Linked DNA regions of Oryctolagus cuniculus. The protein of the gene in region 2 interacts with the protein of the main gene of each other region in a biochemical or structural test. Links are inferred from orthologs where the notes say so. Each region holds a gene or a part of one and is shown on either strand. Other genes may lie near its edges.

Region 1 (7,346 bases), on a different chromosome or scaffold from region 2:
AGATTCCCCAAAAGAATACTTAACAATATGTGATCAAAACTCTTAAGACCCTGGGTGGGGGGTGGGGGTAGGGGCTGTCACTGCTGTTGAATATCCTTGCTCCATTTCTTCCCTTTGTACTTGTTGAATCAATCCATTGTAGGTAATATTTATTTTAAAGTGAGAAATTTATGTTGGGAAACATATCAAACCATGCCTGCAATATGATAAAATACTCAATAAATATTTGTTGCATGAACAAACTTCTAGGTCTAAAATTTCAGTCAGCAAATATCAAATGTAGCTCCTGAAACGGCAAAGAAAGGGAAGACAGCTTAATGAATAACGATGCAGAAAGCTCAATCAGATAAATGTCACCTGGTGGCATATTCATAAATTACATTTTTAAATTTCATCTTTTTTTGAGGAAAATAAAAATCATACAAAAATCATCTAGACCAGATGATAGGGACAGATCTTCAACCATATTCATTCACATGTAACATGATTGCCAAACATTATTGTAAGCTCACAAGCGCTATTTTTAAGGCTCAGAAAATAGAAAATGAAACACTTTTTAGTTATATTGACCATAATAACTTATAATACCTAAAACAGATATGCACTCAAGAGGTACTCCAGCAACCTCATTTCATGATTTGAATCTTCGTTGTGAATTGTTCCTTCAAGTATTTTCCCCTAAATTGTTCACATGGTCCTTAATTCTACACGGTCACCTTCACCGAGTGTAAATGCTAAAAGTAAAACTCAATTCTAAAAACATCTGCTGAGACTATATGCTGAAGAGATATTAAGTGCTTTAGAGTATACCATAGGTTTCCTAAGAGATACTTCATCAAAACTAACTTCACAACATTAAGCTTCTTCACATGGTGTGAGATAATACATAACAAACTCTAACTTAGCATCCCTGATCTTCATAGGAATTAAGAAAAGAGGTAGAAAATCTTATGTGGAAGATCTCGTAGTGCAGCCACGTGTCAGAGGGCATGCCTCGCGGACCGGGCCGCCAAGCAAATGGCTGCACATCTACGTAACTAGGAAGAAGCAGAAGTCAGAGAAAGCTGAATAAGGCAAGGGTTTTAAAACTTTCATGTTTTGGAAGAGAAACAAATTCATTTAACAGCATTATCTCAATTACTTTGAAAATGTTTCAAAGTACAAGATCACAGATTAAGCAAAGTGCTAATTTGCAGAAATATGGAATTATTCAAGAGTGGTAGTGGAGGGACAGGGCTGGCACAACACCAAACACTGTTCAGGTATGCAAAGTCTTGTAAAACACAAGCCGAAGCATAGCATTCTCACTTTGGATGAAGATGTTTTTTGGAGGAAGTTCTCGTGACAAAAAGCTGAGAAAATTACATCCCTCCAAATTTTCATGTAAAGAAAGCAAAAATCAAATACTGGAATTTCAAGGAACTTTGATTAAAAAAAAATTACCCTGCTTAATTTTAAAATTGTACCCAACATGACAAAGACCAGCACAGGAAGTGCATTGACACACGAGGCTGACGTCCTTGGAAGCCGCAGGGAGCTGCTTCAGGCACCTTTTCCTCATACATTCTACTTCACACACCAGAAATCCGCAGCAGGACACAGGCGCTCCTGCTGTCAGCGACATTCTCTAGGAACGCACTCATCCCTGTAAAGATTGCTTGTTACGTACTCAGAAGTGGTTAAGTACACACTGATAAAGTCTACCAAATGGCAATATAAAATCAGTTTTGACAATTCTGAGTATCTTCGTTTGATAAATCAATTCATAATTTAGAAACTATTAACTCACTCAGTTGTTAAAAGGACTCAATTACTGGAGACACTGGTACACGTCCGGGGCCTCATGAGAGGCTGTCAACATTACTCGAAATGTGGCGTTCTCTTCTTCTACAGGTGAAAGCTGCTGCGTGCTAGTTTATAATACTGAAACTCAATCTCCAGCAGGTGGGGGGCCACCTGTTCTGTCACCCCCGTGGAAAGAGGGCAGGCATCACCACTGTAGACACACATCTGTAAACTTGCACACTAATTTTAATCTTAACAAGGAATTTCAGTGTCTTAGTGGTTTCAAGTTCAAGGTGTGGTTCAAGCATTGTGTCCTTTGTTCTTTAGGGTCAGGAATAGCTTATTGGAAAACCCAGAGCCTTCTGGATCTGTGAGGTAGTAGGCTTCCACCCTCATCATGCATAGATCACACTTCTCCAAAGTTGGTGTGGCCTGTCTCCTTGGCATGCTCTCTTGCCTCTGCCTGTCCAGTCAGCCCCTTCTGACACACCATGCATCGCAGGGTGAAGCGGTTGACGTCGGTAAACTGTCTCTTTCTTCTAGCTTCATCTGCTAGTTCCAGTGCTTGTACGAGGACAATGTCATCGTTCGAGGAGAAGATGGTCAGAGGCGGCGTGTCTGGATCCGGGAAGTCTCGCTGCAGCGGGTCGTAGTGGATGCCATCGTAAATCAGCAGGACCCTTTTGGTATACCCCGCGTCTTCCCCGAAGCGATCGATTCTTACCGTCTGTGTATCCACTACACAGATTTCACACTGGTAAAATTTAGACAAGATGGAGATTTCAATCGCTCCTCCCCAAGTATCATCCCTTTTGATCCAGTCACAGTACTCTTGATTTGTTTTTCCCAGTATGGCCTCACTGTAGAAGTCTGGATCGCTCGCTACGATCTGTGCTATGAGGCGTCTCATCTCAGGGGCGCAAGCTGGATCCAGGACGCCTCCTTCAACCACATAGTACACGCTGGTGAAGAGGCAGGAGTTGTCTGCTGGGACCACAGTCCTGGAAAGCACAGGCAAGGTTTCCTTGACATAGCTAGGAGCACCGTGTTTTGAGAATGCAGGTGAAGCTTTGGGCCTGGTTTGGTCTTCTTCAACGATCAGCATATCGCCTGTTAAAAATAAAACAGATCCAGAACTGCAGAGAAATGACAGATGAGATTAGCCAAGTCTGTAAATTACAAATAGAAGCTGGGGTTACGATGGAGAACACTGCTGCCCCTAGGAACACTAGAAACACCTGACCCCGACTGTTCACAAAGGTGAAAACAGAACAGACTTCAAGCTGCACCCCAAGCAAACGAAGCCGGAGGCCTACACCGTCACACTTCCTTAAAAAGATACATTTAAAACAAAATTGCCTGCGAAGCCTTCGTCCGGAGGGTGTTTTCCCTAGACCGGCCGCTAGGGGGCTCTCGCCCTCCTGAAACTTGGCCTCTCTCGCCCCGCTTGTGTTTACAAGGTCCCGGATCCAAGAACAAAAAGCTTTTAATTACAACGTTGATGTTCAAGTTTTAACACTGGACACAAATAATTACTGTCGGTTAGGACTTGAAAGAGCTCTCCGTGGATGTTTACAAGCTAACTCTACGAGGCGTGCACCTGTTAAACTTAACTATTCAACGCGGGGGACTGCAAAAACGAACCAGGAAAGCCAAAGGAATAACCCCGGACCCTTCAGACCGGCTGGCCAACGAGCGACACCGGGAACGAGCGCTCGGGACCGAGAGGCAGGCCCTACCTTTTCCAACTTTTGCGGATGCACGGGGAAAACAAGGCTGAGCTAGCTTCAGGGAAGCACAGAAGGCAGGCTGGGGAGGGCGAACTCCTGGGCTCTGGGCTTCTCTTCCAGCCCTGTGTAAAGGCACGGAGCTGCCGGACACTTGGCCCGGCCTCCGTCAGCGCCCCCAGCCACCTGCCTTGCCTGGGTCTCCGTCCCCGCGCGCGCCCCTCAGGCCTTCCCGCTGGTCCCAGCTCCGATCCCTTACCTGATTGGATGGGCAAGTCCCCCAGAACGGTGTCCCCGTCGCTGAGATCCAGGCACTCGGGCGGAAAGCCGACGAGGATTCGCTGACCGCCGGGGGCGATCCCGGTGATGGCGGCAATTTGGCCCTGGAGTTCTCGCACCCGGGTTCGGCTGGACAGCCCCTGCAAAACATGGGTGCCATCCTTGGCCTTGCAGCGCAGCCGCCACATCGTGTCGGACTGGCCGCCCACAGGCCAGACACCCGCGGGGCCAGCCTTGGTGGCGGCCGCAGGAGGCGAGACGCCGCCGGGGCAACCGGCCGCCGGGTGGACTCCAAAATGGCCACCCTTCGCGGGGCCAAACATCGCGAGAAGTCGGCGCGGGCTACAGTTCTCGCGACACTTTCCGCCTCGGCCCTTGGAGGAGAGCGAACTCCCTTAAAGTGGTCGCTGGTGTTGCAGGGACGAGGATGCGCCCCGTATCCCTAAAGCATCCCTGGCCTCGCCGCGCTCCGCGCCGGCGGCTTATAAGGACAGCGCGCGGGAAGAGGGCGGGGAAGCAGTTCCCGGAGGGAGTCGGGTGGAATGTCGGCGGCCAGTGATTAGGCCGGCCGGGGCCTCCGCCCGACACGGCTCGGAATGCTAGGAATGGCCAGTGAGTCAGCGGGGCTGTCAGACGCCATCGGAGGCTCGTGGCCGCCCGCGCCGGGGCTGAGGGGCCGGAAGCCCGACCCTCCCACCCCGGCGGCAGCAGGCGGCCGGCCCCAGCCTGGGGGGCGCAGTGTGAGGAGGAGCGAGGGGCCCGAGCTGCCTCTGCAGTTCCCGGGCGGACAGACCCCGAGTCGGCCGCGTCCCCGCCTTCGGTGCCGGCGGTGGCGCGGAGAGACTCGCGGTGGGAGCCGCGGCGCCGCTGGGTGTCACGGCGAGGAGACAGTGCGGGGTCAGGTGGCCCTTCCCCACGCTGTAGGCCTAAAACCCAGGGCTGTGCCTGGCGTACAGCGCAGGGGCACGGGGAGGGCCGCTGCCACTCGCCGAAAGGGGAGATAGCTACACGTTCGAGCTGTTTGGGAGAATGTCTTCGCTCCCGGGTGGGGGGGGGGGGTAGAGACGCCCCGGGATTGAGCTCTAGCCCAAGAAGTGCATTTGCACTGCTCTTTATCCAGCCCGGACCCAGAGCGGCAGGGCTCCTCCTCTACAGCCTCCAGCATCAGCGGGACGAGGGCAGGCCCCTGGGACGTGCAAACTCACCGCCAGCGCCGCCGCCTCCGAGTGGCCACGAGGAGCCCCTGCTCTCTGCAAACACCTTTCCCACCCAGGCCCCTGCCGGTGCCGTGGAGCGCCTCGGGCCTTCAACACGACCGTCACAGATGCTGTCGCGTGGGCGGGGCGGGGCGGGGGCGGGACGGTGGGTGAAGTCCAGCCGGGCGCATGGCTGGGTCCGGGAAGCCCCCGGTCCCTCGTTAGGGTACACGGTCTGACCCACGGGGAGCGGCACGCGAACACTCGGGGCGCGACCCTCAAGAGCACGGTGGACGCCGACTCCCGGCGCCTCTTAGAGCTTTCGCTCGGGTGTGCGGATCCCACGCTGTCCGCCTGGGACTCAGGGATGAAAGCGTTAACCTCTGCGGACGCCGGCTGGCGCGGTTCAGTCTCGCGAGAGTTTTTACAGAACAGTCAGGCTTTCTGTGGGCCCCGCCCCCAGCCCTGTTGGTTACCAAGCAACGATGCAGCCCGCCCGGGAGCCCGGAGACTCCGGAGCTGGTCTCACCCTTCCTCGGGGCCAGGGTCCGCGGTTCCGCCTGGAGCCCCGCCCCCTGCATCCGCCGGCGCCCGGTTGGTCGGTGGTTCTCTCCAGGTGAGGACCGACGCGCGGGTGGGCGGGGCCAGCGGGCACGTGACCCGCCGGGGACTCGGGGCCGGGCCCCCAGCCACGACTCCAGTCTCCCGAGTTACGGGGCAGCGCCGGGGCCGCAGCCGGCAGGGGTCTCCGGAGAGATCGCGGGGTGAGCCACCGCTGCCGGCGCCTGGGAGGGGCTGGGAGGGCGGGCCGCGGGGGGCTGCACGCACCCGGATGAGGTGCCGGGCGTTAATGCCTCTCCGTCTCGGGGAGTGCGGGCGGCCAGGGCCTGGGAGCCGCACCTGCGGCTCGGCTTGGACGATTTGTGTGGTCGTGGAGGAATAATGCGCGGCCCCTGAAGGGGTGGGACCTTCTGCCCTCGCGGGCCCCGTGTAAGCTGGGTTAGGGAGCGAGCTCTGGGCTTTCCTACCCCAGGATTTACCCCTTATTCTGCAGGTGACCTTGGGGAAGTCACTTACCACCCTTGCCTCCCGTGTTCCTCCCTTAGAATCCTAGCGGATAAGCGGGGAGAGGCTGCAGGGCCGGGCAGAAGGGTGAGAACTCAGAGGAGAAGCGACGTGTAGGGCCGTCCAGGGACAGCTTTCGCCCAGGGAACGTGTTTCAAATTTTCCCACTCTTCTCAGTTTTTGAAAGTACTGAATCAACCTTTGGATTGAAGTTACTTTCTGTTTAAAAATGTTTATTTTCATGTACTTGAGAGGCAGAGAGAGAGATCTTCCATCTGCTGGTTCACTACTCAAATGCCAGCAACAGCCAGGGCTGGGCCAGCCGGCCGTCTGGGTCTCCTTTGTGGGTGGCAGGGGCCCAAGGGCTTAAGCCGTCACCTGCTGCCTGCCAGGATGCACATTAGCAGGAAATGGAATCAGAAGTTGAAGAGAAACTGAACCCAGCACTGCTCTCTGGGATGTGAGAGTCCCAGCCTGTGGCCTGACCCGCTGTGCCACAGAGCCAGCCCTGAGAATGCCTTCTTGGTAATGATCTGTTCCCAGCCTTCCTGCCCTAGATCCTCAAAACCGGAGTCTGATGTCGTAAAGAAACTTGGACAAGCCACTTAAATCGAACAACGTCGGTTTTTCAATCTGTAAAATGGGAGAGAAGTAATAATGGTAGCAACATCTGCTCTACTTAGGATTGAAAGAGATAAAAGTGTCTATGAGGGTAAACTCCCAAGTCAGCAATACACGTAGGGTTCTAGCACCACCCTCTTTGTAAGTGAGAAAATAGGAGACGGAGGAGGCTCATGGTTCCCCAAGGACAGGCAGCTCCTCTCTGCGGGAGAGAGAGCTGGCCTTGACTCTTGACCCTGAGTTCTTTCCTGCGACCCAGCTGACCCTCCGCACTGTTTTGAAGACCGTCTTCCTGCCCCTCCTTCCAGACGCCTACCGGAGAGCCACCATGTCCGGGCACTTCGGGTCTCCCTCGGAACACGGCAGCAACCGAACCGCCGGTCTTCGCATGTCGGACAAGAAATGTTGTGAGTTCTGGGACAGAGAAGGGCGGCCGACTGCCGGGATGTTATCTTGGGAATGCAACTCTGCTTCTTGGTAGGACTGGAAAATCATTCCTTGACTTGGGGATCTAAAGTGCCATCTCCAAGGGGACGGTTTCCTGTCTGAAACTAGTCGTTTCAGTGAAATGTTTGATTTTGGGGCTAGAAGGCTGGGGCAGCCCAGGAGTGTGTGAGCTGCACACTCATTTGATCTTCGAAGTAGGGGCAAGCATTGTGCACACGGTGAGTAA
Region 2 (7,350 bases):
CAAAATAAGTTGTCAATCCCTGGACAATACTATTGTGTCTCCACATTATCATTTTCCTCCTGAATCCTATATATAACTTACCTTTCATTAGAGTTCTGAACATAGCCAAAAAATTATATGTAGAATATACTTGTGTGTGTTAAATAGCATGGTAGAAAATGGTTTAACAAATATGTGACACATAAACAAGTTAAAATTGTATACAACTGGGCCAGCGCTGAGTCATAGTAAGTAAACACATGGCCTGGGACACCAACATACTGTATGGGCACCAGTTAATCTCGACTGCTCCACTTCAGATCCAGCTCCCTGTTTATGGTCAGGGAAAAGCAGCAGAAGATGGTCCAAATATTTGGGCCCTGTCACCCACATGGGAAACCAAGATGAAGCTCCTGACATCTTGACTTCGATCTGACCCAGCCCTGGCAATTGCAACCATGTGGGAATTGAACCAGCAGATGGACTCACTCTCTCTCTCTCTCTCTCTCTCTCTCTCTCTCTCTCTCCATATATATATATACACATATATATAAAATTCTGATTTTCAAATTTTTTGAAAAACTGTATATAATCATCTCAAAGAAAATAACAGAACTGATCTCTGAGAAATAAAATCATTTCACTTGCCCAAACTCATAGTCAACACGAAAGCAAATAAGTGTTGCAGATGATAAAACTTATTCATTACCAGGAAAGAGCAAAGTATTAAATTAATATTTAGTAGTTTCTGAATTTACAACAAATGACTAGAGGGAATGTTGACTCCCTAAAGAAAAATCTTTAAACACACAAATTATAGTCAAAGGAGCTTGTACTTACAGAAGTTGGAAAACTGAGGACCAACAGAAAAATACTGATCATCTTTGTCATTGTTTCAGTATTACCAATTCTAACTAAAATGATACAATTCATCCTTTACAAAAAAACTTGCACTTAACTTCCCAATTTTTCCCTCTTGTATCAGCCTATTTCAATGATATTTCTGAAAACATATTTGCAGAAAAAAAGTAATTTAACTGAAGACTTACGGGAAGATCAAGCCAACATAAAAAGAGTCTGAAGAACAAGGAAAAAGTACTCTGCTGTAAACTGTAAAGAGAAGCAGTCATAAAAAGCATCTCAAGTGTAAGTTTTCTCCTGTGATCTACATCTGAGAGTAGCTCAGCATCTTTCACTCCACAGACACAGGCACAGCAAGTGTATCGCCCATGCCATGCAAATGCTCACCCTCCACCTGCCTGCTCAGGCTATGGCTCCTGCTGCTGTAGTCGCCACCAGAGAAGGCAGCAGAGCTCAGAGGAGCAGTGGAGAAAGAAGAGAGGAACAGGCAATGTGTGTGTACATAATGAGTCTTCAAGAAGTTCTCCCAAAAATGCCTACTGGGAAAAACTTATGCATGCATTTCAAAAATGTTTGACACTGAAATAAACTTCTCTTTTCATTCAATTTTCCATGATCCTTTGTAGTGCCTTCCATGTGGATATGTACCTATGTGTCCATTTGTTCTCCAAAAAATTTAAAGTAATTTGCAAAATAACACCCAGTTTAACACAGTTCAAGATACAGATAAGAGGGTCAAGCTCTTGGCGGATACTCCCAGGTGGGAATTTAGAACCAAGTAGAGTGATAGGCAACAACTGCATGATTATTTTCTGCATGTCATTTGAGAGATGAACTACATAAATATTTCTGAAGATAGCTGCAGCACCTTTAAGCACTTCCTTCAGCCTTTGGACCGAGTGTCCACAGGAATCAAGGCATCACAAGGAGTAATCACAACACAGAATAACCTCTTCTTTCCATTTTGGAGTTACAGTCACAGAGCAGGGCTGTATCAAAGTCTTATTTTATAATTGCCAGACATTAAAATTAGTAAATATTATTCATCATGATAAAAGAGATCAATAGTCGATGAATTATTTTGATCATTAGAAATGTTTTAATTTTTTAAAAAAGGACTAAGTTTTCCAAACAGCCCTCTGAATACAGCCACTCATTCATTGGGGAAAAAAAGGATAAAAAAGTTCTAAGTGTTCTAAGTGTTACTGCAACATTTAAAAATCTGGGGAAACAAAAGATTAGCCACATTTTCTCACGATTAGCTCAAACATACACCTTCACATTCACCTACCTACCCAGTCCTCCGACTCAATCCATCCTTTTGACAAGTGATGATGCAAGAACGAATCACGTGAGAAATGTCAGCATTCTTGTATCCATCATTGTAACTAATCAATCAGGGACCAGTATCAGAATGACATGGGAGGTGGGGGGGCTACCTACCTACATAGAGAACACCCTCTTTTGTCTTCCCTGCAGCCTCTGCCACACCCTGTTTGGTTTTCTCAGCGGCAGCCACAACTCCCTCCTTGGCCTTTGAAAGCCCTTTCATGAACACATCCATGGCTAATGAATTCCTTTACACCACACTGGAAAACACAAAATACATGCTGAGTGAGAACTTTTTGGTAAAAGCAAGCAAAATTCAAACCATCCAAGCTAAAAACAAAACAGAAAACGAAAACACTAAAAATCTGTAGAAATCCCCAAAAGCGTGAAAACTCTTTGACGTGACCCCTCATTTCAACCACCTGGACAAAGCAGTCCGCCCCTCACTCCCACCCCAGCCCACTCCCCTTAAGCTTTAGCTTTAGGAATTTCTCCTCCCCCATCCATCTTGACTCATGCTGACCAGGGAGAGCATCTGAGCTGTTCTTACTGCATCTCAGAAGTGGAGTGGCAGGAACAGATGCGCCCTTCTTCCAACTTCCCAGGGTCCAAAGGGTGACCCTCTAAGTCAGCAGGAGGTTTAGAGGAAAGACCTCAGGAAAAGGACGGGAGCTGGGGGCCATGGCCAGGCGCATCCTTAAAATGAATCCCAGAAGAGGGGTAACAGGTTGATCCCAGGGGAGGGAAGAGCACTACTCACTCTGCATGTGGTTAAACCGCAAGACAACAAGGAAGGAGCCAGGGGACGCTCCTCTGAATCCACGGTGCCCTCCACCTCCGCCCTCTGCTATCTATCCGGAGCAGGCGCTGGTCTTCACCCGCTGGCAGCGTCCACACCCCTGCCAGCCACACTAAAGGGCGTTCTCAGCCGCACCGCACCCCCAAGCACACCTAGCGCCTGCACCTGTTAACCCCTTCCTACCTGTTGCCTTGTCCCCTCTGCACTTTATTTAGAAATTGGCCAAAGCTGTTTCCTCTCTTCTCGGGAAACAGCGAAAAAGCGGCCTACGGGGTGGCGGTTACCGTAAGAGAAGAAAAGTTGGATGCTCTTGCTCCACCCAGCACCCGGCGCTTCCGCGGGGAAAACGCACCCCGGAGAAGCCGCTGATTTCGCAGCCTTTGGGGAGGCCGGGGAGAGCTGGGTCAACATCCACTCCTGACGTGCACGCGAGGGACCTGCACGCCCCACCAAGAGCCTGGACACCGCGGTCCTGGGGTGCACCCTACCACCACCCCGCGTCCGCGGCGGCTCCTCTGCCTTCCCGGGTTTCTCCACGATTTCCAAAGCTGCCCGTTCAGAGCCACAGGTACTCACCCGAGAACTCTGCTTCTCCGGGACTCCGAGTCCTCCCCTCCCCCCCTTTCCCTTTAATTTAAACAAGTGCCAAATATTATTTAAACGGGCCAAGGGAGGGGACGGGAGCGCACAGGAAGGGCGGAGGCGGCGCCAAGAGACGGATGATCCCCAGAGGAGGCTGCCGTCAGCGCAAGCCAGCGACGGGAGGCGGGGGACGTGGGAGGCACACGCGCGAACCTCGCGTCCAATTGCCACTCCCCGTCCCCCGCACGGAGGATGGGGGAGGAAGAAAGCGAGGGTCGCGAGGGAAGGCGGGCGGAGGGCTGGAGGTAGGCGCAGGGCGGGGCTGCGTCCCGGGGCTGCCCAGAGGCCAAGCACACACCTCGCTGCGCGTCAGCACACACTCCCGCTCCGCCGTCGTCCCGCTCGCGGGCCCCTGGTCGCGGCCGTCCTCCTCCTCGCCGTCCTCCTCCACCTCCTCCTCCGGCGCCCGGATCTCCTCGACTCACCGCCCCCACGGCTGATTTGTCAGCGCCTCTCCCCGCCCCTCTCCCGCGCTCGCTGCGCTCCCGGCGCGTGCTCTCGGCTCTCGTGCTCCGTGGGGAGGGGGTGCGGGGCAGGTGGCCCCGGCCACTGCAGCCGGCCGCCTCGGCCTGGGAGGCGTAAAGGCGCGGGGCCCGGTGCTTCACCGCAGGCTCAGAGGCACCGGGAACGTGCGGACCTCCGGAGCGCTTTGGCTCGGGCTGAGGTCTCTTCTTTCCACCCGCTCCCTCGCTGTCTCCTTTCCTCTGGTTTCTCGGGGACCTCGCTCCCAGCAGAGCCTAACCCTGGGGCTTGGGGACCGAGGAATGGGCGTCGCAGCCGAGCCTGGCTCCGGGAGCGGACGGAGGAGACACGGGGCGCGGCGGGGGCGCCTGCACCTGCCCCGCGTCAGCCCGCTTCCTGACACTTAGCACACGGCCGAGGGGCGCCTCGTGCAGGGTCGCTTTTGTTCGAACATCCTCGAGGTTTTCTGTTCTCGCTTAACCCCGGGTGAGCCCGAAAGGGTCCCGCGGGCAGGCTGGGGACCACCGAGCAACAGATACAGGTTCGGGAGGCACGAGGGGACTCGTCAAATCGTCTCCCTACCAGGCTCTCACCATTTTCTTTTCCACCAATCAGCGGCTGCCAGAAGCTGATTTTTTTTTTTTCCCCATCTGTGAAGCAGGCAATAAATATTCCCCAGCCGTCGAAAGCGAGCGGCCCCAAGGCTTTTCGCTCTGGAAACGCGGCTTCGTTTCCAGACCCCAGGACAAGGTCTAGGAGGCAAATCCAACGTGGTGCACGTTGCCCTCCGAGCTGACACCCCCTCCCCTTACACGGCACACGCGAGAGAGCCCCCGCCGATTTCTGCGTCGTTTAACGCATTTTCACCCTTGTCAGTGCTGGGTGGAAAACAGCTGTTCCTAGATCACACCAGAAGGGAGAACCAGGCTCCCCCCCTCCAGCAGAAGGCCTTGCTTTCCTGGCCCGGTTCTTGGAGATGGGCTTAGCACGGAGGGGAGAACAAGGCTCTGCTGCCTCGTTTGTTCCTTGGTCTGTTTCTGTTTTTCTGCCGCTTGCACGCATCTGGGTTCTGAAATTTGAGTCAGATGTGCTTTCCACCTATAAAGCACAACTTGAAACCACAAGGGATGGAAGCTAACGACTACATAGAAAGGATAGAGATAGCTAAATATATAGATTGTTAGATAAAAGATGGATAGATGACAGGTGACAACCAATACATAAGAAGGGGAGGGGATGGTGGTAGAAAGAAATGATACAGATAGATTCCGAAGAAAAAAAAAATGTGAAAATTAGATCACAAGTATTTATCACTTAATAGATCCTCACACTCCTTGCCTCCCTTTTGAAAAACAGCCTTTGGACGATACAGCCGCTCATATTTTGTTTTCCTGGGATCAGAGGAAGAAAGCAGACACGGGAGCTAGTTTGCCATCTGATTTTAAGGCCGTGAGCAAGTTATGTCCTCCTGTTTACAGCTTTTCCTCCTGTAAATGAGGAGGTGAACTAGATGATCCCTCTCTTTTCAGTTTTTTATTATGGAAAATTTTCAGACATGTACAGAAGTAGAATCAAAGACTCTCACATGAGTATCACCCAACTTTCACAATGTTTCAATGCCTGCCTAATCATATCTAACTATAAACACTCCACTTTATCGCTACCAATCTTCATTTTTAAGTAAATTCCAAGTTTTATATGCATATTTTATCTGTAAACATTTCAACATGGATTCACAAAATGTAAATTATGAAACAATAATCACCATAGCACTTGAGAATTTTTATTCTTGGTTATAATTTACATAGAGTAAATGCTCAGCTCTTAAGTGTCGCTATGTGTCCATTTTGAAAAATCTGCACTATTTGGAAAACCCAGAACATTTTCATCACCCCACAAAGGTCCCATGGACCCTTCTTAGGTGTGTACATTCTAACACTTCATCAAAATGGAATCATAAAGTATGAACTTTATTTCCTATTTGACTTCTCTCTTCTAGCATAGTATTTCTGAGACTCATTCATGCTGTTACATGAATCACTGGTTTGATTTTTTAATGCTTTTCATTACTGCTAATAATGCATTTTTCCACTGTGACCCACCACGACCACATGTCTCAACAGATATAAATAATTATGACAGTTATTTTTTAAAGATGTGTTTATTTAGTTGAAAGGCAGAGGTACACAGAGAGAAGAAGAGGCAGAGAGACAGAGAGGTCTTCCATCCCTTGGTTCACTCCCCAATTGGCCGCAACGGCTGGAGCTGCGCCGATCTGAAGCCAGGGGCCTCTTCTGGGTTTCCCACACTGGTGCAGGGGCCCAAGGACTTGGGCCATCTTCTGCTTTCCCAGGCCATAGCAGAGAGCTGGATGGGAAGTGGAGCAGCCAGGACTAGAACTGGTGCCCACATGGAATGCCGGCGCTTTAGGTCAGGGCGTTAACCCACCACACCACAGTGCTGGCCCCTGACAGTTATTTAATATGTGATTTTATATGACATATTTGTGGTTTACCAGGGACCTGGTCCTTTAAGATGGAGGGGTGAATGAAATGACAGTTATTTTAGGTGTCATGAGCAAATCAGTGATTTATTTTGGGGATGATTATGCATCTTATAACATATCATGATCCCATACTTTTATATAGTACCTATGTTTGGCAAAGGACTAAAATCCCGTGTCACTTAATCATAACAATTGGATAAGTTAAATTTTATATAACTTTTATAGGCAGAGAATCTGCTGGGGAGATAGACTGAAGTTAATTAGCTTTATGGTGGTAGAGCTGAGATGATCTAGCAGAGACTGTACCAGAAGGCACAATCATCTGAACTGCAGCTCATCCTTGAAGCCTCATAGATTGAGTGTGTACCATGGGGAAGAAGTGGTGGGACCCAGCTCTGTTAGAAATAACCTTTGAGTTTGGATATCACAATGGAAATCAAGGAAAATGTACACTATTATAAAGCAATATATTCAGATTTGCAACTTCACCTTCTCTGTGCCAGTACCCCACCACTCCCGTGTGAGATACGGGTATCCCAAATGATAGAGTGACCTAATCCTGATGTGAACATTTTCTTAATAATTACCATACATGTCCTTCATTTTCTCTTCAGTACATGAAATATCAGTATTTTACCCCACATTAGTAAATTATTTTATCCAGGTTTATTTCAGTAATTTCACTATAGATTAGCATTCAGTGAAATGTATGCTTTCCCTAGACTTAATTTTCTCTGTGAGATAACCAAATATTTAGTTATGTCCTGTGGTA

What was found.
Region 1: the proteins of SNCA (region 2) and YOD1 form a complex in vitro, tested with the Homo sapiens proteins (2 studies listed by BioGRID, with this or other methods). The link is inferred for Oryctolagus cuniculus from reciprocal best matches to the Homo sapiens genes SNCA and YOD1.

Annotation. Positions count from the first base shown.
Region 1 is NC_091444.1:22,174,357-22,181,702, forward strand, and holds the start of YOD1 (ubiquitin thioesterase OTU1), read right to left. Parts: upstream 4,115-7,346; coding exon 3,772-4,114; intron 2,896-3,771; coding exon 2,192-2,895; 3' UTR 1-2,191. Other genes in the region: PFKFB2 (6-phosphofructo-2-kinase/fructose-2,6-bisphosphatase 2), read left to right, coding at 4,388-4,403, 4,912-5,603, 6,933-7,080. UniProt on the Homo sapiens protein: Hydrolase that can remove conjugated ubiquitin from proteins and participates in endoplasmic reticulum-associated degradation (ERAD) for misfolded lumenal proteins.
Region 2 is NC_091439.1:75,752,112-75,759,461, reverse strand, and holds the start of SNCA (alpha-synuclein), read right to left. Parts: upstream 4,637-7,350; 5' UTR 3,909-4,636; exon of another isoform or gene 3,152-3,908; intron 3,118-3,151; exon of another isoform or gene 2,720-3,117; intron 2,430-2,719; 5' UTR 2,405-2,429; coding exon 2,284-2,404; intron 1-2,283. UniProt on the Homo sapiens protein: Neuronal protein that plays several roles in synaptic activity such as regulation of synaptic vesicle trafficking and subsequent neurotransmitter release.